Linked DNA regions of Kluyveromyces lactis. The protein of the gene in region 1 purifies or fractionates together with the protein of each later gene. This does not show direct contact. Links are inferred from orthologs where the notes say so. Each region holds a gene or a part of one and is shown on either strand. Other genes may lie near its edges.

Evidence for each region.
Region 2: the proteins of SNT1 (region 1) and HOS4 purify together in Saccharomyces cerevisiae (affinity purification with mass spectrometry; 5 studies listed by BioGRID, with this or other methods). This does not show direct contact. The link is inferred for Kluyveromyces lactis from reciprocal best matches to the Saccharomyces cerevisiae genes SNT1 and HOS4.
Region 3: the proteins of SNT1 (region 1) and CPR1 purify together in Saccharomyces cerevisiae (affinity purification with mass spectrometry; 5 studies listed by BioGRID, with this or other methods). This does not show direct contact. The link is inferred for Kluyveromyces lactis from reciprocal best matches to the Saccharomyces cerevisiae genes SNT1 and CPR1.
Region 4: the proteins of SNT1 (region 1) and HOS2 purify together in Saccharomyces cerevisiae (affinity purification with mass spectrometry; 3 studies listed by BioGRID). This does not show direct contact. The link is inferred for Kluyveromyces lactis from reciprocal best matches to the Saccharomyces cerevisiae genes SNT1 and HOS2.
Region 5: the proteins of SNT1 (region 1) and KLLA0_F02882g purify together in Saccharomyces cerevisiae (affinity purification with mass spectrometry; 6 studies listed by BioGRID, with this or other methods). This does not show direct contact. The link is inferred for Kluyveromyces lactis from reciprocal best matches to the Saccharomyces cerevisiae genes SNT1 and SET3.

Annotation. Positions count from the first base shown.
Region 1 is NC_006039.1:323,653-330,484, forward strand, and holds the start of SNT1 (Snt1p), read right to left. Parts: upstream 3,902-6,832; coding exon 1-3,901. Other genes in the region: AAA family ATPase CDC6, read left to right, coding at 5,258-6,829. UniProt on the Saccharomyces cerevisiae protein: Part of the Set3C complex, which is required to repress early/middle sporulation genes during meiosis.
Region 2 is NC_006042.1:339,690-346,451, reverse strand, and holds HOS4 (Hos4p), read right to left. Parts: upstream 3,683-6,762; coding exon 800-3,682; downstream 1-799. Other genes in the region: KLLA0_F03641g (cytochrome c oxidase subunit IV family protein), read right to left, coding at 197-197; KLLA0_F03597g (dual specificity protein phosphatase family protein), read right to left, coding at 4,044-5,126; VAC7 (Vac7p), read right to left, coding at 5,947-6,762. UniProt on the Saccharomyces cerevisiae protein: Unknown. Component of the Set3C complex, which is required to repress early/middle sporulation genes during meiosis.
Region 3 is NC_006040.1:1,413,024-1,418,073, forward strand, and holds CPR1 (peptidylprolyl isomerase CPR1), read right to left. Parts: upstream 2,651-5,050; coding exon 2,162-2,650; downstream 1-2,161. Other genes in the region: GIR2 (Gir2p), read left to right, coding at 1-170; ENT5 (Ent5p), read right to left, coding at 484-1,683; DNA-directed RNA polymerase I subunit RPA14, read left to right, coding at 3,124-3,603; HOM2 (aspartate-semialdehyde dehydrogenase), read left to right, coding at 4,072-5,050. UniProt on the Saccharomyces cerevisiae protein: PPIases accelerate the folding of proteins. It catalyzes the cis-trans isomerization of proline imidic peptide bonds in oligopeptides. Involved in histone deacetylase complexes, suggesting a function in chromatin.
Region 4 is NC_006042.1:845,908-851,712, reverse strand, and holds HOS2 (histone deacetylase HOS2), read right to left. Parts: upstream 3,247-5,805; coding exon 1,888-3,246; downstream 1-1,887. Other genes in the region: KLLA0_F09141g (type I glyceraldehyde-3-phosphate dehydrogenase), read left to right, coding at 355-1,425; IME4 (mRNA (N6-adenosine)-methyltransferase), read left to right, coding at 3,968-5,542.
Region 5 is NC_006042.1:266,406-273,052, forward strand, and holds KLLA0_F02882g (uncharacterized protein), read left to right. Parts: upstream 1-2,756; coding exon 2,757-5,147; downstream 5,148-6,647. Other genes in the region: protein kinase IME2, read left to right, coding at 1-191; KLLA0_F02860g (NAD(P)/FAD-dependent oxidoreductase), read left to right, coding at 695-1,996; putative GTPase MTG1, read right to left, coding at 5,432-6,589.

The DNA.
Region 1 (6,832 bases):
AGACAACCGAATCACTTCCCTTAGAGGGAGGAATTGATGGAGGAGAAACAGAAGCATTGCGCATTGGTCTTAAAATTGGTAAATTTGATGGCCCAATCGGTGATGCCACAACAGTTGGTGATGTGTTTAAGATCGTATTAGTTTTAGTTTCCGAATCTTCGCCATCGTTCAATAGGCTTCTGATTGAAGACCTCCTACTGGAAGTAATTGTATGTGATTGTACTGGAGCATGATGAGTTTCAGAAGCATTCGCAGAAAAATGAACAGAGGGAGTTTGTGGTTTGCCAAGGTTCGAATAAGCATTGGAGATTGAGGGTTGAATTTCAGGAAGTTTATTAGTATTCAGTCTTGGAAGAGTATGTGGAACACTGAATGATGTGATAACAGGTGAATGCTGGGGAGGCAAACCTTGGGTTGGAGTTGGTAATCTCGAAAAACTATCTTCATTTCCGGTTAGAGAAAAGGATGGTTTGTGAATGGATGACAATTTAGAATCATTGAAAAATCCAACAGCAGGTTTTTGTTGCTGCGGTATCGTTTGTAGCGGAAGTGGCTCAATGGATGGTTTTTCCGCAGGCTTATTAACCGTTGCAGGCGAAGGCAATGAGTTCACGATAATAGCTGAACTCACATTGGGAGCCGGAGCAATAGCAACGGGTTTGGTAGACTGGTCTCCTGATGATAGAACTGATGAGGATGCAAGTTGGTTGTTGCCCATTTCAACAAGAGCATACCATCCATTTTGTTCCGCTTTCCTCTGGAAATAGTTTTTAACCATAGTTGTTGATTTTGTTCCAAGTTTCTGAGATATCGATGTCCAATTTGAACCAAACTCTCTGAGCAATTCTGGGAACTTTTTTGCTTCCTGTACACTCCAATAGCTCGATTTATGCACAGCTTCTGTTTGTTTCAATTTCTTCTTCATAGGTTGGTCTGCAGAATTGACGTTTGATTGATCATAAAGTGAATGCTTTGAAGAAACCTCATCCTCTGGTTTAAGATGGGATTCAGTATTATCAAATCCAATATCCGCATGATCAGCATTCTTTACAGATTCATTGATTACAGATTTTGATGTCATATCAGCTAACATTGGCACAATATCTTCATATGGTTTATTGGAAAGTAACACCTGTTCTTGTACCATGTAAACTGGTTCAGAAACATTTACACTTGAATCCATTACCTGTTGTTTAATATTATAATCGCCGTCCGTCGTTGCTTCATTTTCTGTCTCAGTATCGGATTCCTTCTTTGCTTCTATATTGATCACAGGTTGTTCTTGAAAAGTTGCCAAAGATGGTTCAACCTTTTTGGCCAAAGTTGGCGGTTCTTCTGTGGATTTAGGTTCTTGTTCCAAAGTAGGTGGTTGTTCTAAAGTGGATACAGGATGAACTTCAGCAGGAGGAGGATGGTCTACTTCAGGGACAACTTGCTCAACAGTACGAACAGATTGTTCAACAGGAGTTTCAGAAACAGATGTTTGAGAAACAGGAGTTTCAACGTTTGATGTGGAAGGTAATGGTACTTCAGTCTCTACCTTATCCTCGCTATCTTTTTTCTTAATATCGAACTTGTCTTTTTTACGACGTCCAATGCTGGCCTTCCTTTTCTTGTGTTTTTCAAGCAATAGTTTCTTGTACTTGCTCTTCTTCTTTGTCCTATAATAGTGTAAGACGCACTCTTCAGGAGTTCTTAATCCACCCATATAATGTGAAACCTTGCCGAATTTCTTTGGATATGTTAGATAACCCTCAACGAAAAGTTCATGCTCATAAGGAGTGAATGAATCAATACGATCAGTCAAGAGCCTACTTGCCCACGCATCTTTATCTGTTACCAAGTTGTTCACATCTTTGAATTTGCAGGCAAATTTATCAACAGGATTCAATGTCATAGCAGGAATGTTCGCTGCTAATTGATGATGTTTGTAATCTGGATCAATTTGTAGTAATACGTTTTCAATATCATTATCATCAACAAAATCAGCCCTATTCCTCCTTCGTGAGCTTGTGGGGCGTTGTTCAAAAGCCTCATTTGCATTTTCAACATTTGCTTGGAGATTCTCATATTTATTCTGCTCTCCGCTTGGTTCAGATCTATGGAAACTCTCACTGAGCTCCGTCATCTGGTCACATTTCTTTTCCCATATATCCTGAAGTTTGAAGAATTGATCTTTCAACTGTAGATTTCTTAAGTATTCGTAACGCTTAATCTTTGTCAAATTCTTCGTTATAATTGGTTTAACAGCTTGATCATGAATAATCCAGGCCTGTGCAAAGAATGGATAATCAAATAAATATTCAATAGGTTTTGTTAAAAGATACTTCTGATTCTTAACGCGTTCTTCTCTCGGCTTATTTTTGAGAAGCCATAACTTCATCTCCGGTTCCAACATTGGAAATATACATTTTTCAATTGGAACTAAAGGTTCTGGATAAGGTTCTGGGTGTGGAAGAATATCCCTGTTAGGAATGTGATTCTTTTCGGCGAGAGGTCCAGTAGACTCTTGAATTGTACTCATTTCTTCAGCCATATCTTCATCTAAGTCTTCATCTATATCTTCTTTTTCTTCCACAGTCGGTTGCTCCGTCAGGGTTACTTTTTCGATAGCTTCTTCTTCCTCTTTCACTTGAGGTTTTTTGTGATCACTCTCTGGGAGTTCCTTATCTACAGTTGATATAGCCACAACGGGCTGGCCTTCCGATACTTGTTGATCATAATTTTTTTTGGTTAGGAGAGTAAAACTTTTATCATGATTTTCTGCCAGCTCCTTTAGGTTGTTATTGCTTGCAATTTCAGAGTCATCTTCTAATTCAGAGCCATAATCGTGTCTGTCATGTTTGTCCTGTACGCTGGTATAGGACTTTGCGTCACTATCGCCAGTGTATTCATCTGCACTAATATCTATTCTTTTATGGTCATAATGTAACTGTTCTTCCACTTTCTTTGTAGTCTGGGGAACTGAATTGATTAAACTAGAACCTAGCGAATGGGACGTTTCGAAAGATTTCTTCGATTTAGGTATGTCAGTCATATCGTGAGGGCCATAGTCTGAAGAATATTTTTTGAACCCGTTATATCTTGAATTTGAATGATATTTACCAGTCCTTACGTTACGGCTCCCCCAATAAGATCCTCTTGAGCCGCTTACTGACGAAGTAATGTTCTTTGATGATTTTGCGGATGAAGGTTTTGAGTTCTTGTATGTGATATTTGATAAGTTATTATTCGTATTGTTCGCACTGCCATTGACGTTCATCCCGTGAATGTTATCATTTGATGGGAAAGTATCAAATGAACTCCTTGGCCTTTGTGATTTTCCCGTTACGTACGAAGAATATGGATTGGAGCCTGCCCCGCTGCCCGAAGGATAAAAGTGTGTGCTATTAACGCCACTAACAGGAGCGGTAGCTGGAATCAGTTGTCCGTTCCCCAGTAACGGTACATTTGCACCAGATGAGAGTTGCATATTATTCGATATTTGAGGATTGTAACGACTATGTGACCCAGCCCATCTCGAACCGGATGATCCGTTGTTATTACTCGCATTATCGTTCAAGCCAGCTCTTTTAACTAAAGTTGGTACAGTATCTGAAATCGTTACATTAGGATTAAATCTTGATCCAGGCCGTGAGCTCATCGAGCTACGACCACTAACATTAGCATTTGGATCATACCTAGAATGTCTACTCCCCGTAATATGAGCTGGAGAACCGTCTCCACTACTCGAGTTGGGTGTACCATTACCAGATTCCTGAGAGTGGCCACGATCCCTTTCTCCAGAAAGTGCTGTTTGTCCAGGATTTCGACCTATCGAAGACGAAGAACTATATCGTCCTGAAGCGCCACCACCGTAGTGGTAACGCTTCTTTTCACCTATACGGTGCTGAATAGGCATGGGATAATCAAAATGGAAGAATATGAAAGGAGGAGGGATAAAAACGAACTTAACAAAACAAATTCAAAAGGGCCAGAACTGAAAACTGAAAGGAAAGAAGCAACTGTTTTCAACGCTATTTGCCTTCTTCACTTTTAAAATTCTCAAATAGCGTGCCAAGTACTTCACTATTTCTGATCCAAACTCTTTTGTTTGCACCTATTACACTGCTTTTCTCTTTGGTTTCGGCTTTACTTCTACTTAATGTGAACACTCATATATCACAGTGTGTACAATAAACGCTAGCTGTGCCGGCTACTCGATCTGGATTCTGTAGTCTCCTAAAACCTTGCCTTGTGTGCTGCCCTCCAAAACATCCAAAAGAAGCAGCTCTTACCGTCTTTCTGTGTCTGCTTTTTTTTCCTTCTTCTTTAAAAAGGATAGCTTAAAGTATGTAGCTTGATTTGTTTTGAGCTCTTTTTCATTCCTTTATTAAATAAAGTGACTTTTTGATTTTTGATGCTTTTGTTTTTTTTTTCCTTGATGATACCAAAAAAGTTGAAATACTTGAAAAATCGAAAACTGAGCATTTGACATTTACTATCTGGGATTCTTTGTTTTTATGAGGGAGGGGAATGAGTCGCCGTTGGGGTTCGAAGCGAATTTCGGGTTGTGAGGAAAGAATAAAAATAGTGGATGCTTCGTATAACGTGACGTAGTGTTTAGATCACGTGGATAGATTTTTTTTTTTACCAATTTCTCTGTGTGGCCTCCCAGGTCAATGGGGTGCGAGGAAAAGGATACAGAAGGTCGGGACAGACCGTTAGGAACTTCATAGTCAAGGTTAGCTGAGGATATGTATTTTGTCTTGTTGTATCCGGTAAAAATGCGCATACCGCGCCACTGTCCTCTCTCTTCATCCAGTAGCAGGTGACATTGCGAAATATAGGTATCTTTTCCTTACTCTCCTTTGTATTTTGCAAACAATACCAAGAAACAAAAGCTGGTCCTATGAGTTACCCTTACGCTGTTTCTCCCAGAAAGGTGGTCCTTCTTTCCCTTGTATTCGGCCACCAAATATCGCTTTTTCTTGACTCTTGCCCTATTCATAGCAAGACTCGAAACACTTGATGTCTTAACGTGTAATTACCCTTTTAGGAAGTGTAATTATCTGCGACAGATCGAAAACCGCATTAAGTAAATTATGCGAAAAAAAAAAAAGTATGTGAGATCAGGCATTATATATATGTACGGTAAGTTCAGCTACTTGATTATGATACCTGGTTCGAATTCACAATCACCGATATTTAGTCACACGATCATAAATTGACAACACGGAACTAGGCTGAAACAGTTTAGGGAACCAGTCAAACCATAATGATGCTTAATGGAAGGAAACGTCCATTCTTAGCGTTTGAAAGTGATGGTGAACTAGGTTGTGGAAACTCAGAAAACATGACGCCTGATGCGAAGCGCTTTTCAGGTTTAACAACACCTCCAGCATCTCCTGAGAAAAAGCAAATAAAAAAACCATTAGGAATAGTCAGCTCAAATTTGACAAACATCAACGATGAACCATACACAATTGAATCAGATTTGAAACCGAAACGGTTGATGTTTGGATCCGATCCAATATTTTCGAAGACAAAATCGCTGTTGCAACAGTCTTCAGTTTCCAACTTGGAACAGACTTGGCTTGCTACGAGAAAGTCAGAATACGACGAGATCATGCATTTTTTTCACAATTCAATATCGGACAGGGAATCTGCCGATAATTCGCTGTACATCACAGGTCCACCAGGAACAGGGAAAACGGCACAGCTAGACCTCATACTGAGAGATAAGTTTCATGAGATCATTTTGGATCCAAAAAATAAAAAAGTCACAAAACATGACCCAGAACTGTTGAATACATCTTATTTTGAAACACAGTCAGACATATTCCAGTCTATCGCGGTAGCCAAGGTCAACTGTATTGCCCTTTCGAAACCGGAATGTATATTCCAGAAATTACTTTTAGAAATCGTCAATGGGAAGTATAAGCAACAACATCATAAAGCCTGCGACAGTGTGAAGAATTTAAAGTCGTTTTGTAGATCGAAACCAAATACTCATTTTATCTTTATCCTGGACGAAATGGATAAGTTAATCAAGCAAACCACAGTGCTATCATCTGCAACAAAAATTATACTGGATCTGTTTTTATTGGCTAAGGAGCCCGGTATCAACGTCACAATCATCGGAATAGCAAATAGCATTGATTTAAAAGATCGTGTTCTAAACAGACTTAATTTACAGAAAGAATTGCTTCCTAAAGTTATCCATTTCCATCCATATAACTCTGAACAAATGTTTGAAATTGTGAGAAGCAAACTTTCCATATTTCCAGCTTGTTTTGAAATATTTCAACCCATGGCTATCAAATTTGCAACGACCAAATGTTCTGGATCAACCGGAGATCTAAGAAGATTATTTGATCTACTCCGTAGCAGCGTTCAATTATTAGAATTGGAATCTTTGAAGGGTAACTCAGATAAAACTCGAGGCCGTAAAGTAACCATCACGCATGTAGCAAAAGCTGTTTCAAAATATATGAATTCTGCCACAACAAAGACACGGATCGCTCCTTTGAACATACAACAAAAGATCATACTGTGCTCGCTTGTACACAGAGAACGGTTTGATCTTAACAAATGTCTTTGTACAGTGGAAGAAGCTTACGATTACTACGTCAAACTTCTTAAAAGAACAGATGTCATGAAACCTTTGAGTAAAGCCGAATTTTTCGAAAGTTGTTATAGTTTACAATCCAGTGGAGTGGCTCTTATAGAGTTCACCAAAAAGAAATTATTACCATCTGGTGCCGCCAAAACCATCAAATCAACAGTCATTGGCACAGAATTGCAAGAAGAGATCAGTAAAATTGATCTATTAAAAAGACTCTTATAGCTG
Region 2 (6,762 bases), on another chromosome or scaffold:
AATCCATTTAAAACTTTAAACCTGATCAGGTATGACTATACCACCTTATTCATCGGGATGATAATTAGAACATCTCTTAAATCGTTCTTCTTATGATTTTATCCATTATCTCCGGAAACTCCAGTTCGCATTTGTTCCTTATTGAAAATTCCCATTCGCAATCCCCTGATTATGTTACGTCTTACGGTGCACATACTCTTTATAAAATCTTTGGCCGCTAGTTGTGAATACTAATATCAAACAAGAAAACCCTTGGAATAAATTAGAGAAACTATACCAAAACAATGTTCAAATCTGTGAAACTAGCTAAAATCAGCTTTATATTTTATCTTTTATTTAAATTATATGAAAAATTTACAGCTTTTTTTTTCATGTTTCTCCATTATAAAAGGTGAATAGCACCAACGGAAGTGGGCCGAAAAAAAAAACGCTAACAAGAAAACGCTTCGAAGAAAAATGGCTGGTAACAGTTTTTTTTTCTACTCTATTGTTTATCTCGAAGGAGAATCGAAGGTTTATGATATGATGGTGTGTTTTAGGTCATTTCATACGAGATGGAACTTTTTTTCGGATTTAACGTTACTAAATCAGACTCTGGCCAATCATGTTCCCGGAAAGACAGTCGCATAGTACGGGTTGGGGAAGTGATGAATGAAGGGCGTGGAAAATCATCTGCAAAGGTCCGAGTCACGTGTATATAAAATCCACGTGACTTCTATTTTCCGAGGAAGACGTTCTTCTTCTATCTTTTCTTATGTATTGTTACAGTGTTAAGCTTCTTATGCTATGTATAATGACCCTACCAAAGCGCTTTGGAGGCATTCAACCATGGTAACATTTTGGAGCGTGATTGATATTTGGCAGGGACAAAGCGTGTGTTAGCATTATTTTCGTTTTGGCCAGGTCTTTTGCTATCACGTAAAAGGACCTTTCTTGTTCTGTACAAGGCAGATGTAGATGCCGGGATAAATTCTATCATATTTTTTTCAATCCAGTCATTCATCTTTGGGTTTAAATCTTGCAGGTTCAATCGCGATAGTTTAATCCATGTTAGTGGGAGTTCATAGAATTTTACATACTCTGTTTGGTCAATTTCCGACAATTGCCTCCAGGGCAAGGACTTCGAGTTGTTTGCATTATCGCTGCCGCCATATAAGAAGATGAATTTGAAAAGATTCCATAGTTGTGGGTACTGACCCTTTTCCACTTCTTTAAATTCTGATGATTGTTTCTTTAACTCTTCGGTGCTGGATTTGATAATGACACTTATTTGAAGATCTAGCACCCATTTTGATCCATCTTCAGTGAAGTAGTACACAGGCCCAAATTTATCGTAATTCTCAAGATCTTTGAAATCAATGACTCTCAATCCAATTGGATAACGCTCTCTGATCTTTAATCTTTTTTCTACTTCGTTTCTGTTTCGAAGTTCTTCTTCTTTTAATAGTTCCTCTTTCTTGGCCTGTTCTAGCCTCTGTTCCTCCTGTTGCTTCAATTTCTCCTTCTCTTCTACTCTCTTCCGTTCATCTTCAGCTAATCTGTTTAAGAATTCCTGTTCTTTCCTTTTCTTCTGTTGCAGTCTCTTTTGCCTGTACTCTTCTTCGCTCTTCAACCTTGCGGCTCTCTCTTCTTCGCTTTCTTTCGGAAGAATAGGCGGAGTGGATAGTTGATGTGTAGGAGATGCACTTTTATAACGATGAGTTAATGATGTTGAAGATGTTGATTTTGTTGAGTCTAGTCTCTCTAGACTTGGCCTGACTAGGGAAGCAGTTTCTGCTGTCGTTTGAGAATCAGGTAATAATTTTGGCTTTTCCTCATTGATATTTCCGATTTTAGATTGTGGTTCTGAATGATAAGGACTATCATCTTTACGAATTTCCAAAGAACGATCTTGCTCTTCTCCTTTGGTGGATGGAATTGACGATATTTCTCTAGGTGAAGGAGATTTCCCTTCAGAATCTTCCTCCCCCTCTTCATCGCTGTTGTTTGAAACTTCGTATCCATATTTTGCCCTCACCGCTGCTTTGAGTAAATTCACTTCATCAGGATCCGTTAGACCAAGAGAGCTGTGGTTAGCATAATGCAAGGCAGTTTTCTTTCGTTTGTCAGTTTTCTGTGGATCCGCCCCGGCTTCGAGTAAAAGTTTCACGACGTTGACATGTCCACGCCCGACAGATAGCATCAACGGAGTTTGACCTTCTTTGTTACTCATATTAACTTGTGCGCCAAAGGCTAAAAATAAACTTACTACGTCATCATGACCATATATGCAACTCTCAAGGAAACATCTGAAATCAGGTCTACCACCGTTTTCAAGGTACGAACCGACGTATGCTAATTTCCCCTCTTTGGAAGCTTTCAAAAGCTTGTTTTTACCCAATTTTGAACTGATATCAGTCCAATAAAAGTCGTCATCATGGTTGAGTTGTTTGTCTATATCATCTGAATGTCTTGACATGGAACTAGACTGTAAGGTGCGATGGGAATGTTTTATATATTTCCTCGTTGCTCTCTTTAACATATCTTTCATATCGTGCACTATTCTTCTATCATCATTATCCATGTCTGATTCCTCCTCAATAGATTCAATTGCACTTAGACCTTTGGCATTTACCATTGTTGGATCTGCTCCGTGATCTAGAAGATATTTTACAACATTTATGTGGCCATTCGCGGAAGCATCAATAAGAGGCGTATCTAGAAACATATCATATGATTGAATATTAACATTAGCTCCATTTCTTACGAGCAACTCGACAATTGCTGAATGACCATTTAGAGCTGCTTCGTGTAGTGGCGTATTTCCAGCGTTGTCTTGGTCGTTAACGTCATAGCCGTCTTCTTCAATAAGTTTTTTTGCCAAATCATATTTGCCTTTATCACAAGCAATTTGTAGTTTTGTCCTGCCTCCGGCATCCCTATGTACTCCACGCTTAGTCTTCGGTATCTTTTTCCCGGCAGAATGTTTTTGCTTCTTGTGATTGGAGGAGTTTTCTATACTAGAGGATTTGCGCTTGTGTTCATTATAATGTTTCACCGGAGAGGAATCTTCGTGAATCGCACTGCTTGATATTTTAGCTGTACGAGCCTCATCTAAATCGGAAAGATCAGAATCGGATTCCCCATCATTTGTCAATACTGGAGCACTTGATTGTCGACTGTTGTTTCCGCTTTCAAGTTGATCACCTCGTATTAGTCTCCCCATTTTTGGTCTTGGTGGCGATGCAGGCTCTGTCGGTGCGTCACTTTCAACTTCACTGAGTGCACTACTATATTCTTCGTCAGAATGCTTATTTCTCCCTACTTTCGGTAGATTTTTCTTTTCTTCTACATCCGTTTCCTGTTTTATTTCATTAATAGGTCCTTTCGTTTCCGCTTGTCTCACCGGTATTGACTCTTGATTATTCAAAGGAGATCCAACTTTCTGGTCAGAGCTGTTTGCTTGGCTAACGACATAGGGTTCGTCTGATGGTTGTTTTGTACTGTTCTGATCAGTTGAAGTTACCTTTTGAGATACCTCTTCCTCCTTTACTGGAACATTGGTAACAGAATAATTCCCATTTTCACCCACTGGCTTAGGACTTTCTCGCTGCTGTTGCTCTGATCTTTCTCGTTCTTCTCTTCTCTCTTCGAGACGAGATAGATAACTGCCCAAGCTTCTTTTTTTGACAGGTTCGCTCATGGTTATTACTCGGTTTTTTCAGAAAGGTTTGAAAGTTATGAATGGCCTCTGATTTTCCATAATTCGCACTCTTCTGAATGAATCCTTCGAGTAACGTAAAGTCCGAAGTATAATAAGTGGGAGGACAGTATTATCTAATGGTTTCTTTGCATTATTCTCCCTTGTCACCAGCTTTATTTACCTTATATCATAACTTAGAAACCTTCAAAAGTTTAATGTTTTTAAGAACAGAATTATCACTTGGTACGTTTTGATAGTTTGCCCAAACAGAAGATCCGCGGCGTATTATTACAGAGTAGTGTTTAGGCTACTATATACTTTGTATGGGTATCCCTAAAATTGCGTTTTATATCATACAATCTCACAGAGAGAGTTCACCGAATTCCGAGATGGACTCGAATGACTGTTTCCGACAGTTATCATTGATTGAGTCACAATTGTTAAGCCAATCTTCCCATTCCATTAGTTGGAATAACAAACTCATATTTGGACTTATTTCTCTGGCGACAGACTTCAATTTATTATATGCTTCATTCAAGCTTAATTTGTCGTATCTCATCATGTAAGCTACTATCAAGGAAGCTGATCTTGATACTCCACATTGACAGTGGATTAGCACCTTTTTTTTGCTGGCATAGGCATTCTGTATTAGTTCTGTTAGTTGTGGTAGGTTTTTAGTAATTTGTGAGGTATGAGACCAAGTAAAATGATAATAGCAACCTTGCTTGGATAGAGGCAGTTGTTCCTTGTAGTTGGTAATCTCCTTTGCAACGTTTATTATTACGTCGTAATCCATTACTTCTTTTAATGATGGTTCAGAATACAAATATATGAAAGGAGGGACGACAAGTAACGGTCCACTGGGATAATATTTCTCTCTGTATGATTCTGAATAGCTCGGTGAGTCTTCATCAGAATGGGTATTGTATGGGATGCTCTTCATATCATTATCATAATTTGTAGAGGACATGGGCGTATTTTCTTGAAGAACCCAATACCGTGTCGTGCTTTCCATTGAATCATTACTGGGCGTCTGTATCTGAGGTACACTTGTCGCAATTGTCGTGGCCCTCGGCCTATTGTGAAATTTGGTGTTGATTGTTGGAAGTGTTGGTTTATTGAAAGGCGAGGAAGACGTAGACGATGAGGGTGAAGCGGCTGAATCAAAGCCCGAACTGCCAGACGGTAATTGTGGTGTAGAGGGTGTGGATCTGGCAGATTTAAGCTGTGGCGGTAAAGTGTATATCTGTGCTTCACTTACACGTTTAGTAAGCTGGTGGCGCAATGGCACTGCGAAAGTATCATTGCTTTCATTTGGTTTTGAATCCACCATTATTAGTTTGTTTTTCGTTGGGGAATCACCTATTCGAAGACAAAGGTTCTTTGAATTTTTATTTTGCATCGAATGATGTGACCTTGTACTTATTCTCTGCGGTGCCTCCATATCGCTCGGTGTTGGGTATTGAAAAGGACTTGCAAGTATGATCAAATGTTTAATATAATTATAACCAAATAAGTTTCTTACCGAATTTCTTTGGCCAGGAATTCAAGATGAGATAAGAACGGTTTTCTTATGGGTTACCAGCGTCTAGGGAAATAATCAAGTACCAGCTTTAGTTTTCCTATATCTTTGAAGTAACACAATATTCAATAATTTCAATAAATTGCTGTACAAGCTTTTCTCAAATATCCTCTAATGTAGTAGCTAAGATCTCACAATCGTTCCCCGTTAATATGTTCAAAATATCCCCTCTGCCGCCTTGAATGTGTGTGTGGTAAGTCGAGGAAAACCCACCGGCGTGCAATTCGAAGGTTTAAATCTATGCCAATAACAATGATAACTTGTGGACCTACAGCAGTTGATTTATTTGACGATAAAAACAGACAAATGAACTTTTAGCTCTGTTTCGGTACCTTGTTTCAAGTTTACTTCTTGTGCTTAGTATTTCAACATTTCTGCTTTTTTTACTTTTTCTTGGGGACACAGGTAGGTCCTAAAAAAAGAAGTAAATAAATAACATTCTTGATGCAGATGTTGCTGGGGTCACTTAAGGCTTATAACTCGGCCATGAAAAATACAGTTTGTGGTACTTTAAGTATATCTTATTGTTATCATTATATATAATTACAAGCAAATTAGTTGCTGTGGCATACTACAAGACATTGTAAAAACTAAGTAAGGCCAAGGTTGAAGTTTTCCGATGAGTTATCTTGGTGTCTGACTTAAACAAGCTTCTGGCAGACTAAAAAATGGCCTTTATATTCTATTGCGCATGGTTATTTCCATGCTTTTTTCTGAAAGGTGAGTTGTCTGGATCTACAGAAATTTGCTGTTGTACTGGGAGTACTTTCTGGTTGTTAAAGAATGGGATACTGTAATACATGTTTCCTCTGACGATCAATTCGAATTCATATTTGATCAATTCTTTCCAACGGTCAATATCATTCTCTAGTTTGTGATTGCCCTTTTCATCTTGGTTATCGTGGCCCATTTTCTTTTTGTTACCATTATCATCGTCGTCATCGTCATTATCCCCGTCTTCATCATCACCATTATTTTTAGGTGCACCAGGATTGAGCAATTTAACACTGGCAACAGAAACATCATAATTTCTGTTGATCAATCTTCCTCTAAATTGTAGTTCACTTTCGAGATTGTATACTGTCCCGAGTAGTATGGTTTGGTATGGAGTTGAATATAACTTGTCTTCATTTGAACTAACGTCAACGTGCTTAGTCTTAGCAAATATATCTAGTTCCACGTCTTTTATACCAATAGTGAAGAGACTTGGATTAAACGCAGTCGCTGTGATATCGAATACTAATTCATCCAACGAAACTAGAACGTTATCCATGGCCAACAATTGGAAATCGTGTAATTCTTTGTTGGTTGCCAGTAGGAATCCAGAAATGAATCCAAGAGTCAATAGGGAGGCCACGATGAAAGAGAAGTAAACGAAATTTTTAAACTTAGACCATGAACCCTTCTTGGTGTAAAAGTTGTGGGGAGAAAAATCACCGTAGAAATCAGATCTTTTCCTGCTCACTCTTTTATTCTTCAAAGGAGTATACTCACTGGC
Region 3 (5,050 bases), on another chromosome or scaffold:
TTAGGAAAGAACTGGGGTTGGACGAAAGAGACGCCCAGAGACGTCTTGCTGCCCACCAGGGGAGACTTTCTGGTAGACAGATCTTCGAACAAGGACTTGCTGGCGATGAGGATTTGGATGAGGAGAATGAATCTTTGATCTCAGAAGGTGTAAAAGCCATAGCAGTTTAAATTCTCCATATTTTTATAACACTTCTAATGATTGATTTCATAATATGGCATCACTTTAAACCTTAGACTAAGCATAGTTAATACACCTTCTCATTAATGAAGGTAAAAGTCTCACGGTGCAAGGTCAGGTAATTTTTTTCATATATTTACAGTATATAGATAAGAAAATTATGATAATAATAATAGTAGGGGTTGTGAGTTCTAGTTGTAAGAATATAAAATATGACAAGTCCCACTAGCCATGTGATAGTTAATGCTATTCAATCGAGGGAGCCTCTTGATTCGAATTGTTATGTTGATATACTTGGGAGTTTCATATTTGGTTTTTGGACATAGAGAATAGATCAGCAAAAGCATCGGATTTCGTGCTGGCGTTGTTATTGTTGGTCGCGGCTGGCGTCGTGGTGCTGCTAGATCCACCGAAATCTAGAAGATCATTCAATGTAGCATTATTATTAGAGGTTTTATTATTATTATTATTATTATTATTATCGTTACCAAAACTGTTAAAGTTACCAGATGCAGGTGGAACTGGACTTTTCTCACTTTGAAAATCACCAAATTCATCATCGTCATCATCTTCACCATCAACACCGAAGCTCTCGAATACGTTAGCATTATTGCTATTGTTGATTGAAGGAGAAGCAGGAGCTGGTGCATCATCGAAGTCCAATAGATCGATTTCTGGTTCCTGCGCGGAGACTTTTCTTTGATGTTCACTGTTACGGATTCTTTCTCGTAATAGCTCTCTTCTCTGTCTTCTCTGTTCGTCCACAGCAGACGATCTACGATCTCTGTGAGCCGTTGGAGTAGGTTCATATTCGAAGTCGTCCGAGTCATCAATGGTAGAAGACGATCCGGCGAAAGAGTCTGCATTGATGGAAATATCGTTATACAGAGATTCTGAGCGAGATCCGGCAGATCCGGCAACGATTTTTTGTGTATTTTCCGCGGTCTTGGAACGCTCGCGTTTCAAGTAAGAAGTATCCTCTATCAACTGGATGATATGTTCACATTTCTTCTTGATACCACGCTCATGTAATTCCATCTTCCCATCACTACTGAAATCAACACGATACTGCATCGTTTCCTTGGTTAAGATATGTTTATGTGCTTGTAAACAGGATAGCACTTGATCAGTCTCTTTGCCCCTATCTGACCTCATCAATAAATACTCTAACAAGACCAAACATTTCAACACAACTCTCCATTCGTTACCGTAATTCACGTACTGCTTTCTGGCCTTTTCGTACATGTTCTTAGGTCTTTTAGCCATATGATCGACTAATCTTTTCAAAGTATATTCAGTCATCAAAAACATTGAAACCTCATAACGATGTCTCATCACTTTAGCCAAATGTTTTGGAGTTGGACCCCAGGAATCGGTATTCGTAGCACGTCTAATATCGATCTGGTATGGTTCATACTGAACTATAACGTTCTGTGCAAATCTTGCAGCATTTCTGAAATCATGCAGACCCAAATTACCCAACTTTTTAGAAATAGAATCCATCCTTACTGATAAGATATAGCCTGTCCAGCGTGATCAATAGCGTACCACTGCAGATACAACGGGTTACCGCACTGAAATGACGAACGTATCCTCACTGATCATTAATCATGATCATTATTTTATGTTGAAAAGTCTTGTAAAGGTTGCGCTGATTGCAGAGGGCAGCTAAATTGGGAAATTTCAGGTGAGAAAAGGGAACAGGCCCGGGTAACCATTTTCATTGGGTAGCTACATTTGTTAATGGCCAAAGAGGAGAGATGATGATCTAGTCATAAACTTCCATTGATATAAAAGGGTGTTGTATATATGTATTTGAGTGTCTTCCATTACCAATTGAGTGAGATCAAATACACTCAATTAGTCAATGGGTTGTTATAGACATAAGTATATATATAGATATCCCGAGCGATTGAAGTGTGATAAAGGGAAGAAAAAAGGATTAAAATGAAAAAAAGAGTCAATTCCCTAGCTTATTTCCTTACAATTCACCAGACTTAGCGATAACAATTCTGGCCTTGGTAGCACCGGAACCGGAACCCAGGGATTCGACCTTCTTGACGACATCGAAACCATCAGCGACTTCACCGAACACGACGTGCTTACCATCCAACCATGGGCATGGAACAGTGGTGATGAAGAATTGAGAGCCGTTGGTGTTTGGACCAGCATTGGCCATGGACAACAAACCTGGCTTTTCGTGCTTCTTGACGAAGTTTTCGTCTGGGAACTTAGCACCGTAGATAGACTTACCACCGACACCAGTACCGTGAGTGAAGTCACCACCTTGCAACATGAAGTCTGGGATAACACGGTGGAAAACAGAGCCGGCGTAACCGAAACCCTTTTCACCAGTAGCTAGAGCTCTGAAGTTTTCAGTAGTCTTTGGAACAACATCGTTGTACAATTGGAAAACAATTCTACCCAATGGTTGACCGTCAGCTTCCACGTCGAAAAATACCTTAGACATTCTTAGTTTAGTTTAGTAGTTGATACTTGGTGTGTTGTAACCAAGATTTTGCAAACCAGAACAGAAGAGCAAGAACTGGACTTGAATTGGAATTGGATTGAAGTTGAATCAGAGTTCAATTGAGAAAGTGGTTGGTAGTTGCTAACAAAGGGTGGCGTTGGCTTCGCAAAATGGTATTAGGTGATGACATGCGGCCGGGTAACGAAAACGGAAACCCCATTATCTTACACATCAACCGCATTGTCGCCGCAAGTCACGTGACACACGTGACTTGCATATTTTGTTAACATCGCAAGGCACGGAGAAACATGCCTGAGTTACCCGTGCCTCAGCTGAAAAATTCTTCGAGAGACAAAACCTGAATCGAAATAATGCGATGAGATGAGATGAGATGAGATGAGATAGCCAAAGGTTGGGTAAATATATAGATGCTGATTTGATTCATCGCACTCCAACGAACAACCACGTATACCATGCTAAGGGGAACTAGAAGACCAGCAAACTCCACTTTGAACACGCCCGTTGTGGTACATACGGTGGGCACGCCAACATACCTATCTAAAGACGAAGTACTACAATTCCTAGCAAGTTTCATTGCCGAAAAGGAATCAGTACCAGGCGTGACACTAGCGTCAAGCGGAGCTTCTACAACCCAGGGAGCAGTAACTTCTGGTGGCATTAGTGCCGATGAAATGGCTCTAGATACACAGCTTTCCAGTGCTCTTGCGCAGCTGAAAAGAGTCGAAAGAGATTTCAAAGGTCTACCACCTCAAGTAATGGAGATGGAACCCTCCAGCACAAGTTCTACTGGTAATACAGAAGAAGATACGGTGGCTAAATCTGCTACTGGAGGGAAAAAGATCAAGTTTGCTGATGTGCCGGAATCTTCACAAACCTCCAGTGACAGCAAACAAACATCCTCATCCTCGGAATCGTCATCAGACTCTGAATAGACGGCTGATTTGCACTACCCACGAATCGGGAGGGTATTCATTCATTATATATATATATATATATATATATATACATACATACGCTAAGTTACATACAGTGACCGTTATAATCAATGCATAAGCTTGGAGCTCACCCTAATTGCAACATACCACGTGACTTCAAATACACAACTTTTTCTTTTCCAATGGGCTCACCTGCGGTTTCTTTCACACAGAGAGAGTGTGAGTCAGTTGGAATTTTTCGTCAAAGTGATATGACATCAGTTGAAAAGAATATCAACATTAACATCCGATTCCTTACTACCAGGTATATATTTGTACACACTTGTAGCATTCATCGTTGCTCTACTTTGCTTCTAATATACTTATCTCATTTTCTTGATCGTATTTATTCTAAAGCGATAAAGAGGATCTGAATCTTGCTTAGGAAGATTAAGAAAGAATCACTACTTATAATATACTATAACTATGGGTAAGAAAGTCGCTGGTGTCTTAGGAGCTACTGGTTCCGTTGGGCAAAGATTTATCTTGTTGTTAGCTGACCATCCAGATTTTGAATTGAAGGTTTTGGGTGCTTCTTCCAGATCTGCAGGTAAGAAGTATGTCGATGCTGTGAACTGGAAACAAACCGATTTGTTACCAGAATTTGCTAAGTCCATCATTGTTTCTGAATGTACCGCTGATGCCTTCAAGGACTGTGATGTTGTGTTCTCTGGTTTGGATGCTGACTATGCTGGTCCAATTGAGAAGGAATTCAAGGAACATGGGTTAGCTGTTATTTCTAATGCTAAGAACTACAGAAGAGAAGAAGATGTGCCATTAATCGTTCCAATCACCAACCCAGAACATTTGGATTTGGTTAACGCGAACTTGGTAAAGGCCAAGCAAGAAGGTAAGCCAAGACCTGGTTTTATTATTTGTATCTCAAACTGTTCTACTGCTGGTTTAGTGGCCCCATTGAAACCATTAGTTGAAAAATTCGGTCCTATTTCTCTATTGACCACTACCACTTTACAAGCCATTTCCGGGGCTGGTTTCTCTCCAGGTGTCCCAAGTATCGATATCTTAGATAACATCATCCCTTACATTGGCGGCGAAGAAGACAAGATCGAATGGGAGACCAAGAAGATCTTGGGTGCTTTGAGTCAAGATAAATCTCAAATTAACCTATTGAGCGATGACGAAATCAAGGTTTCTGCTCAATGTAACCGTGTTGCTGTCTCTGACGGTCACACTGAATGTATCTCTTTGAAGTTCAAGAACCAGCCAGCTCCATCTGTCGAAGAAGTAAAACAATGTCTAAGAGACTATGTCTGTGATGCTGCTAAGTTGGGATGCCATTCTGCGCCAAAACAAACCATCCATGTCTTGGAACAAAATGATAGACCACAACCAAGATTGGACAGAACAAGAGACAATGGTTACGGTGTATCTGTTGGTAGAGTCA
Region 4 (5,805 bases), on another chromosome or scaffold:
GAAATCATCTAACCGGTAAACGACTGGTGTTTTTTTTTTTGGTTGATGGTTTCCTTAAATTATACAAATCCAGAGATAATCATATCTAATTAACCGCTGTCTGCTCTGCTTTCACTGCTTTCGCATCACCGTTTTCTTCTTTTTACCTTTTTTAAGAAATAAAGATCTTACTGGTACTGCTACGCTAGGTCATCCACTTGTGATTTAATAACATTGACATTAGAAAACTTCTTTATTTTCTAATATTTACTGGCACATATTACCGCTATTATTATTATTTGAGAGAAAAGTTACTTTTTTTCTTTAAACCGGACCTTTTAAAATCTCACAGAATTGATACTGTCACTTTTTTAGATGCCCGATATGACAAACGAATCTTCTTCTAAGCCAGCTCAAATTAACATTGGTATCAATGGTTTTGGTAGAATCGGTAGATTGGTTCTACGTGCTGCTTTGACGCACCCAGAAGTTAAGGTCAGATTAATCAATAATCCATCCACAACACCAGAATACGCTGCTTATTTGTTCAAATACGATTCTACTCACGGCAAGTATCGTGGTGAAGTTGAATTCGACGATGAACGTATCATCATTCAAAATGACCATGTTTCGGCTCATATCCCTCTATCTCATTTTAGGGAACCAGAGCGTATCCCATGGGCTTCCTACAACGTCGATTATGTAATTGACTCAACCGGTGTCTTCAAGGAAGTCGATACAGCCTCTAGACATAAAGGTGTCAAAAAAGTTATCATTACTGCTCCATCAAAGACCGCGCCAATGTACGTCTATGGTGTTAACCACGTTAAATACAACCCATTGACGGATCACGTGGTCTCTAATGCCTCCTGTACTACCAACTGTTTGGCTCCGTTGGTTAAGGCTTTGGACGATGAGTTCGGTATCGAAGAAGCCTTGATGACAACTATTCATGCAACTACTGCTTCTCAAAAGACTGTCGATGGTACCAGTTCTGGTGGTAAGGACTGGAGAGGCGGTAGATCTTGCCAGGGAAATATCATTCCTTCATCTACTGGTGCAGCTAAGGCTGTAGGGAAAATCTTGCCTGAACTTAATGGTAAGATCACCGGTATGTCTATAAGAGTCCCAACAATTAATATTTCCCTGGTTGACTTGACATTCCGTACAGCAAAGAAAACTTCTTACGATGACATTATGAAGGCCCTAGAACAAAGATCTCGCAGCGATATGAAGGGTGTTTTGGGTGTTACCAAAGACGCCGTTGTGTCCTCTGACTTCACATCCGATTCACGTTCATCTATTGTTGATGCCAAGGCCGGTATTGAATTGAACGACCATTTTTTCAAGGTCCTTTCTTGGTATGATAATGAATATGGTTACTCTTCAAGAGTGGTTGATTTATCCATTTTCATGGCTCAAAAGGACTTCGAAGCTGGTGTTTAAGGAGACGCTTTTTTTGTTTGATTTCAAAATCCCAGTAGACTGACAAAAAAGTACTCTTCGTTTGATGAAGACTATTCTCAAAAGTTTTCGACAATTTACAAAATTATGATGGTACTTCAAAACAATACCTTTTGTACCTCCATCCGCCATTATTATTTAATATTCACAGCAATTTAAAGATATTCTATTTACTAAAGGATATCTTCAGAAAATTTCTTAACACATATAGACAAGTTAAATAAAAACCCATACCATGTAAGCATAATGAAGTATACGATCTTAATATTAATTGGTAATAATGTATTTATTTAACCTCGAAGGCACTTTCTTCGTGCTCATAATTTTACCTTAATAGTGTTAATTTAGTAGTATTCTAACAACTCCATATAGGATATCTATTTACAAAGCGTAACCAAAAGAAAGAAAAAAAAACAAATATATCAGATTTCCGCACGTGATATTTTAGTATAGTTCGCCCACTTTAAAGTCATCCTTCTCCATTTGTGCCAACCTAGCCTTGTCCTCTTCGACATTTAACTCTTTTATCAGTTCCTCTTCTTCTTCAGTTAGGCCAGTGATGTCCTGTGTTGGGATGAGTTCTGCATCCATACGAACACTTGGGGCACCCTGTAAGTATTTGATGTTCTCCAAACATCTAATCCGTATATTTTCAAGAAATTTCTTGGAATTTTTGTTTTCATACAAGTCATCTAGTGTTGGATGTAATGAATAATCTGGGCCAAACCAATCTCTAAATGGAATACCTTCTGGAAGTTTAGGTTGTAGCAATACCCCATTTAATAATCCTGTTTCATACGTCCACAATCTTGAAACATTTCTTGGTGTATAACCACCACCTCCAACCACAAGCATTGGTACTCCAAACGACTTGACAAACCGTACACATTCACCATGAGCCTTGATATTTAAGTTAAAACAGCCAAGTCTATCGTGGCCAAGGGAGTCGGCACCACATTGCTGAATAATTACACTGGGCCGAAAAGATGTTATTACGGGATCAATAATGCTTTTGAATAAATTAATGTATGAGTCGTCTTCGATCCCATCTTGTAACGGAACGTTCAATGCAAAATGCTTACCTCTGGAGCAACCTATCTCATCCAAATCACCTGTACCTGGAAAGAATTCGCCGTTATACTTATGGAATGAAACAGTGAACACACGGTCAGTAGTGTAAAACGCTTCCTGTACACCGTCACCATGGTGCAAATCTATATCGATGTATAACACTCTCGGGTGATACCGCAGTAGATTTACTATGGCTAACACGATATCGTTAACGTAACAGAAACCAGATGGATTGTTCTTTTTCGCATGATGTAGACCACCAGACCAATTGATAGCTATTTCACTCTGACCATTAAGTAGCTTTCTAGAAGCATCTAACGATGCCCCAGCATATAAGGCAGCATAATCAAACATTCCTTGGAAGATAGGACAATCGTCACCAATGTTGAATTTCTCGAGTGACCCTCGAGGAAGTTTATTCAATGTATCTGGTGTTACCTTCGCTAAGAAATTGACATAGTCCTCAGAATGAAATTTTGTTAACTCATCCTTTGTTGCTGACCTCGTCTCATATAAGTCCATCACTTTGTGTAACCCGTATGCCGAAACCAAATGGTCGGTAAGCATAAGCCTAAAAGGTTTCATTGGATGCTTGACACCGTAATGATATTGTGATACCTTCGAATTGAAGTGGTACGAGACTCTGGGACTATAGGAAGTCCCAAAATCACAATCAAACAATGGCTTCTCAGCTTCCGTTTTCTCATCAAATTTAAGTGTATCCGATGACATCTTATGAAAAGGATTCCGCTACCACTTACCCGTAATGAATAACTGCCACTCAGCCAGAATTGATACTTGGTAGCTACAATCTGCAAAGAGTTGGGTATTGGCTCGGTCGATTGTCTATTCGACCTTTCCGTACTTTATTTATGTGTTGTTCTGTTATTACTGTATTTTCAAATTCCATGTTTTTTTATTCCAAGTGGATCAGAACCATAAACTCCGTACATCACATGAACCAATCACGTGATAACAACGTATCAAGATGAAGGATGTACCCCACAATTCTAAAGAGAGATCAGCATCGTTGCAGATTCACGTATAATACACTGGTAAAGCCCTTCACTTTCCTGCCAGTTTGGAGCCTGTGTATTCCCCTGTTCACAACGAATTCCTACCTAGATCAAACTCGGATTTGAAAATAAAAAATCCCAGCTTCATCACGAAATACACCATCTTTTTAAGACAGAACCATTGTTAAACGTGGATGGAACTGAGAGGAAAAGCCGGCAATTTATATATAGTTTCATGACATTGTAGGCACAGAAAGTTTGTGAAAGTTGTGGTGATCGAAAAAAATATACGGATTTGTTATATCTTGTCTGGAGCCAGAGATATTGACGTCGGCGGTTGTTTTTTTATTGAGTGGAGTAACAAGGTGAAACGAAACTGAATATAGCTGCGTCTCGAAAGAAATTGTCCGAGCAGTGAAAGGAGTGAAACTGGTATTATGTCTTTGAATTGGGGGTTAGTTGATTTTATGTTGGACAACTATGCGTCCATCACTGCATCCCCGATCAATGGTAGCTTACACGACATTTATGTCATTTATTCCATGTTCATGCAAAATTTCCTATGGAAGAATAACGAATGTGGTGAGACGTATTACCAGTTTTGTGAAGATTTGAATAAAATTTCAGAAGTATGTGGTGGTTGCATGAATTTTGAAGATGATAGTGGCGGGAATATTTTTGGCCAAAAGATTTCATTTGTTGATGGGGACTCCTTGAAAATATTGCAAAAAGTTCATTATGACCAAGCTATTAAATTGTCATTATCACATACTGGCAATAAAGCCAAGCAGATTGCGATCGATAAAGATTCTGTTCAGGTTAAAGAAAGAAAAATTGAAAGCGAACCCATATTATTAAATAAGTTGATGGGCATTTTGGACCAGAGTGAAATTGTAACCCCTAATGCTAAGTGTCTAAGACACTTAAATCAAATCCTCTCGTTAGAACTCGGATCCACTAAGTTATCTAAAGAACAGGCAAAATTAAACACTAAGCGATCACCTTTCATACCAATATGCTCAGATCCGAAACATGTGTCACTACTATCCACCGTCATCAATACTGTTAACAACAAAATCATGTCTTTGCAAGGTGAAAAATTAAAGAAGATTGAAGCTGATTGTCCGGATATTATCGAATGTTCGAACACGCACATTCATTTCATACCAAATTTAAAGCCACAGACGGATCTTTCGTTGGGAGATTGTTCGTATTTGGATACTTGTCACAAGTTAAGTACCTGCAGATACGTCCACTATCTGCAATATTATCCTGAATCTCTCCAAAAACAGAAAATTGAAGAACAAAAAGAGCAACGCAAGCAGTATTCGTTCTATACGCATGGAGAGTGCTGTTCTTCATCGTTTAAGAAGCTTCTTCCTCCACAATGGATCAAATGTGACGTCAGAAAGTTTGACTTCGATATTCTTGGTAAATTTTCAGCCGTTATTGCAGATCCCGCATGGAACATTCATATGAATTTGCCCTACGGTACTTGCAATGATAATGAGTTACTGCAACTACCATTTGATCTCTTGCAGGAAGAAGGTTTATTGTTCTTGTGGGTAACCGGCCGTGCTATCGAAGTAGGGAAAGAATCATTGCAGAATTGGGGTTACGAAGTAATAAATGAAATATCTTGGATCAAGACAAACCAATTAGGAAGAACAATTGTGACAGGTAGAACTGGCCATTGGTTGAACCACAGTAAAGAGCATTTACTCGTCGGGGTCAAAGGCAATCCGGAATGGCTAAACAGAAAAATAGACATTGACTTGATCATTAGCGCAACTAGAGAAACCAGTAGAAAGCCGGACGAATTGTATGGAATCATTGAAAGACTTGTCGGTACACATGCCCGTAAACTTGAAATTTTCGGTAGGGACCATAACATCCGTCCTGGATGGTTCACGATAGGAAATCAAGTGACAGGCTCATCTATCCATGAAGTGGATGTGAAAAGGAAATACGAAAGATTCATGGAAAAATCAAAGAATTCAAAGACAAACTAAAGATGTAATACTCTCTTTACTTCAAATGTCCTAGCTTTTATTTGTCGATACACAGTATCCATTAGGAGTCTGTATGTGTTCCTTCTTACTTTTCTTCTTTTTTTTAATTTATGTCATACGCCCTTGTAATTACAAACGTTACATTACCCACAAGTTCGTGCTACACTTAAGCAGCAATAGGCAATCTTTTGATTTCCATAACCATGGCTGATCCTACGGGCGTTCTATTAGCCAACGCGCTTGTTTTTTGAATTCAATGCAAC
Region 5 (6,647 bases), on another chromosome or scaffold:
CACTATCAGATCAAATGGCAATAGACGATTCACTTGATCTACAAGAACAGATCCCAAGAAATCTGCTGGAGAGGGCAGTACAGCAAAGAGTTTTAGATTGTCTTTTAGATCCATCGGAACATGCATCTCAAAACCTGATTCAAACCTCTAACTCCCACAATCATACATTCCAAGATGGATTAAGTTTCTGATCGTAGAACAAAGAACAGCAGGCTGTTCCTCTCTTTCAGTTCTACTCGTTGAAATTTCTTTCAACAACGCTTTACCTGGTCCTCTTCCCATTCATTTATACCGTTTATAATATCCACACACACACACACACATATTCACCTTTTGTACCTGCTAGCTCATAAGTTTTAACATAACTTGCTTCTATTATTTCCTTTATAACTTGTTGGATACAGGACAGAAATGCCGACAACTCTTTCACTCTATAACATGGTACTTCTACTTGATTTACCTCTTATGTACACTATTATCCTTACTGTCTTTGTTTACTATCTCAAGTTTTTTTTTTTTTTCTTGGTAAACTGTTCCTATCAGCTCCGAGGTCCGATGATTCAAAATCTTTCGAGCCATCAACTTTACATTGTACTTCAAAGTCTTTATAAAGAAGAACTTCGGTTAAGAAAGAACATAGATAATATATTCAACTATACAGCTTTCCTCACATTAGACAGGCAGCGAACCGGAAATGTCCAATTATGATGTTGTCATTGTTGGCGCGGGTATATTTGGATTAAGTACTGCTGTGCAATTGGCTCGTTCCAAATATAAAGTTGTGGTGGTTGATAAGTTTCAAATTCCATCGCAGTTAAGTGCGTCCTGTGATTATAATAAAATTGTTAGACTAGAGTACAACGATGAAGTCTACGCTGCACTAGCAGTGGAAGCAATGGGATACTGGCACGGTGAAAGTGACAAATTTTTGCCTCGAGGAATGCTGCATGATTGTTACTCTCATTGTGGTAGATTGAGTGCAATTCAAGATAAGAATACAAGCAGATATGCTTTCGATAATGACAGTTTACAACTTCTACAAACAAAGTTTAATAAGTGTAAAACTGTGGAACTACATAAAGAGTTAACTTGTGGTGGTAAGTTCCCTCAGTTTTCTCATAGTCAACGCTACGATGAGATTCGTTACAATCCAGACTGTGGTATTGGTTTGGCTAGGGATTCACTAGTGACCATGAAAAATTATGCTGAATCATTAGGCGTCGTATTTCATGAAAATGATGGAGCCGTGAGTGTGTCAGCGGGCACTGTTCAATGTGAATCTGGCAGAAAATTCCTTGGACACAAAATTATTGTTGCATGTGGTGCTAATACTGTATCACTTCTGCCTATGTATGGTCAGATCAGGGCTACTGGGTTATATGTAGGCCATATTCAACTGACGGACAAAGAATATCAAAAGTTAAAGGATATTCCAGTGGTCTTCAACAGTAGCTTAGGATATCTGTTCCCTCCAGATAAGCACACCAGGATATTGAAGATTTGCACTAGTGCGATGTCTGCATATGATGATATGAGCAACAAATCAAGAGCGGTCTATCGGGCCCTACAGCCCGATGCGGCACCCAGTGTACCAATAGAGGCAGTCGTGCGTATAAGAACAGTACTAGGTAAATATCTACCGGATCTAGTCTTCGATACCAAAAGAAAGTCAAAGTTAAGGGATATCATTGATTGTAAGATATGCTGGATCAGTGACACATCAAATTCTGACTTCATTATAGACATGATCCCCGACCTGAAAAACGTGTATGTATGTTGTGGAGACTCGGGACATGCTTACAAGTTTCTTCCTAACATCGGAAGCTACGTACAGCAGAAAATAGAAGGAAGATTAGCACCAATACTGGCACACAAGTGGAGGTACAGGGAAAGTGATTGGAACGGTACGGAAATCGAATGGAGAGTAGAACCCGAAAAGAAAGCATTACAAGAAATAGAATGGTACCAAGAAAGTTACGGCACCCCAAGACTGTAACCTTTCCGGCAATTGATATTATGCAGCAACAGAGTAATATATTGCATGGCAATTGTGGATCTGTTGGCAGTAAACCGGTATTTAAATATAAGTAATAAAGAAAAAGAAAAAGTATCTACAGCTTGGTACATGTAGTAGTAACACAATCTTGCGTTCAGCGATATGTTCACCCACAGCTTTGCGTTAAACGAAAACGGTACTGCTACTAACCGTGCTTTTGCACCTTGTTTATTGTTTACAACTCATCGGCTCTTCATTATTCAAGGTACGACATTTTTCACCGTTTAACGACAAAATTTTGAAAATCAACAACATTAACTATCTTTCTAAAAATTGACAAACGAAGGATGAATAAACATGTTAATAAGGAACGAAACGAAACGACCAGCCCAGACATATTGAGTGTCTAATTAGCTCTCGTCAATAAGGTACTCGCACATATCTCTTTCACGAAGTAACCGTTGGCAAACTTGATAGAACAGCTGTACGAGGATCAGAAAGGGCCGTTTAATTTTTCCTGTTGGGTTTGATTCAGAACGTATAGACTGTTTTAGCTGTGCTTTCTATACTTCGATAGCTCGGACAACAAGCATACTAGGCCCTGAAAACAGGGATCCCTTTTAAGATAAAGAAGGGTATATAAGTATATCAAGCTGGGCAAGTTAGGACATCTTTATTAATATTAAGGTACCGACTTTTCATTCAATTTCAAATATTCAAATCAAATACCGCAATACAAGAAGGAAATATACAGTAAACGATGACGGATGGTACTATAGAACATGCTCAGGACCAGTCGTTAATAGACGATGCCTCCACTTTGTTGATGTTCTCTAAAACATCGAATTCAAACGTCAACTCGAGCGATGAGGGTAAAGACGAGTTAAAAGCCGATATACATACACACAAAATGACACCAACTCCTTCCGCTGGAACTGCAAGTCAGGTCGGAAGTCAAGCTGGTAGTCACAGTGGGAGCGCTGGTGATATAAGTATGCATATGAATCCCATGACATCACCGGGCCCTGCATCTGTGGCACTTATCAAAGATGATGATGACGATGATCATCTAAAAGGCAGTCCCGTTGACAATGGTATTCATCGCAGCAACTCAAATAGCGAAAAGACAAAGAAAAGCGGGAATAAGAAGGGTATGGTTGCGGCTGCTGCGTTAGCACAAGCAGCTACGATGCCACTACCTCTTAAACGAAAAGCAGAAAACGATAGAAAACCTGCTGCGAACAACAGCGTGCCAATGCCTAGATCAGGTGCCGAGGAAAAATCTCCTTCAAAGCAAGCAAAGAGCGAAGATAAAGTGGTGGAACAAGAAGATAGTTTCAAAGAAGCTGTAGAGGAACAAAAACTTGAAAAATCTGAAACGGATAGGTTTTCTTCGGTTCCCGAATCTTATGTTGTTGATCCAGATGCTGGTATAATAACGTGCATCTGTGGCTATGAAGATGATGATGGATTTACTATACAATGCGACCATTGTTTCCGTTGGCAACATGCTATATGCTATGGAATTGAACATGAAAAAGATGCCCCAGATGACTTTCTGTGCAACATCTGCAATTCTAGGTTTGTAGATGTAAAGCTAGCAAAGAAGAAACAACAAGAAAGGATCAGAAATGCTCAGAATAAGAAGCGTAGACGCACGGCAAATGGCAACATAAAAGAGGTGAAGACAAAAGAGGCCACGTCTGGTACGAAAGACTCACGGAATCCAGGTACTTCTGAAGCGACGGACCATCGTATAGAACCAGAGGCCATTCCATCCGCAGATCCTCTTACGAACATTGTTTTAATAAATGCTAAAGAAGCTTATCCTACAGTGTATCTCCCTTTGACTTCAAATGATTACAAAGATAAATACGTTGAACTTTTCGTAAAAGACCACGCTGATGACGACTGGGTTATACCTTATCATAAATTAACGTTCAAACCTATTCCGATTGAAATTAAACCATATTCTGACAGTAATCACTCAAGATTGTTCCCTGGATACCCCAAGTTAGCTGTATACTTGAAGCAAGGATGTGATGAAGGAGACTACATCGATGAATTCTTAGGAGAGATTGATTTCCAAAGGAAATACTTAGAAGATCCAAGAAATAACTATAGAGTCTGGGGAACTGCAAAACCTAAAGTCATTATTCATCCCCACTGGCCGATTTATATTGATGCCAGGTTAAGTGGAAATTTAACGAGATACTTGAGACGATCATGCAATCCCAATGTTGAACTAGTCACAATCAAATTGACTAATTCCAATAACCAGGATGAGATAAAGTTCGTTCTTAGAGCTCTAAGATTCATTGATAAAGGTGAAGAACTTCACATCAAATGGGACTGGGACCTGAGACATCCAATATGGAAGTTAATAAATCATAATGAGAGCATAGATTCCATTGAAGAGCCACAAAGGTATCTTTTCATACATTCCATAGACACCATTCTAGGAAGTTGTGATTGTGCCTGTGGAAGTAATAGTAAAGATTGTTACTTGCTGAAAATCAAACGCCATTCTCAATCACTCTATAGATCAGTCAAATCAAAAATGAATAATCGATACAAGCTTAACGAAATATTACACGGAAACAAATTGCAAACCAAAAAACAGTCATCTATTCTCAGTAAATTAGCGCATGCCACAATCTCAGACGCAGCAAGGGCCAATGAATTTCTACTTAAATTCAATGCCGTTAAGCTAAAGATGTTAGAACCGGTCTCTGACACTGTACAGAAGAAGTCTTTCCATACGAACGCTGGGAGTATCAGAGGGAACAAATACAGGGTTTCAGTGACGGAGTCCAAAAACAGGGTTGACCCCCTTAAAGAAAGTCTTTCATTCATTTCAGATCCTTCTAAGTTCGATGAATCACAGATTAAACACCCAGCCGATCTTCCTATTCCCATACAGACAATAAGTACTGAAGATAACCCTCCAACTGACACCACCATAACAAATATAACCGAAACTATATCAAACCAAGGACAAACTAGTGTCACTTCCGATTCTAATAGCATTAAAAATTCGTTGAAGCGTGGAATAGACAGCGTTCCCGGCCCTTCGTCTACTATCCACCAAGCTCAGATGAAAAAGAAATTATCGTTTGCTGATTATAAGAAAAAAATCAAACCTGCTTAACGGATGACTTCCTTGGTATCGAAACCTTCATTAGCACGCAAACTTTTTTTTCAGTTCGGGATGTACCTATAGGTAGTCAGCGGTGGTAATAAACGGGGAGAGTGTACTTAACAATTTAGCCTCCTTCTCATAAAATGAACTTTTTTTTGCGAGTTATTTAGGAATTTGGACGGTGGGTTCGATTTGCTTTATCGATATATGTTGGAAAACTAGTCTATACTTTTCTATTATTTATTTACATTGTTTATAATTAACCAAGAACTGACTACTTCTTAGGTATTCTCTCAGAAAAGCGTATTTGCCTTAGATAAATGCTTTTCTCTTTTGTTGAGTAAGGGTTGGGATAAAACATCCCAACCTTTGAGAATTTCAAGTTCTTCTTGCATAGTTTTCTTGTATTGAAAGTTTTCCAAAATGGGTTCCAACTCGAATAGAGCTGGAGTAGCTTTAGAGGACTTCTTAGAACCAGATCTTAACCCAGATTTTAAAACTCTACCTTGTCTCCAAGAATCTGTCCAATAGATGGCTGCAGCATTCTCGTTTGTCATTCCTACTTGCTTTTTGAGGCCACTCAACAAAATGTCAATGTTGTTAGTAGGGGTTGTAGTGTAGTGTGTGTAGAATTGATATTTTCCCTGTAGGTTCAAAAGATACAACAGAAAATCTGCTTGAATCACAGGGTCCACTAGATTGTTTTTAACGCACCCACATAAACTGAGTGATAGCATTCTTTGCTTGCTCATTGCTTTGGCAGGTAAAGATATTCCAGGCGTATCATATAGAAACAACCCTCCTTTATAATCACTGATTCTGATACATTCACTAGTGTTCCTGGTGACACCTGCCTGATCACCTGTCTTCGCAACCTTCTTGGGTTTGCTTCCATCCGAATGATCCAAGCCTGCATATCCAGTAAATCTTAAACTATTAACGAGTGTTGATTTCCCAACATTAGGCATGCCGCCAATTAGCATTCTATAACCCAGTGGTAGTCCCACAGTCTTCTTCCCCGGATCATTTTTCTGGAGAAACTTATCATACTTCCATTTTAATATATGTAAGAGATCTTTAGCGCCCTTTTTGCTTCTTCCATCTATCATGATATATTGTTCGTCCATTTCCTTATGCCATTTATTTAATGATGCAATAATAGCAGGATCGCATTGATCAGTTTTGGTGTAAACTACTAGTCTGTCAACTTTCTTTTCTAAGGACAAGTAATCGAATATGAGGTTCCTAGTGGCTATTGGAGCCCGGCTGTCTCGAAGTTCAACTAGAAGATTAAGCTGAGGAAGGAGATTTTGAGCTCTTTGTATAGCTTTCTTTTGATGTCCTTTGAAGTCACTTGTTGGTATATTGAAATCTGGGAATACCATTCTTGGTACAAATGTAGACTGCAGCCGTCTACCTGAGTATTTGACACATTTTACCGAAACGTTCATATCTTCCAATACAGTAAGTTTGTGAACAACTATTACAGTTAATGGAGTTGTCGTTAAT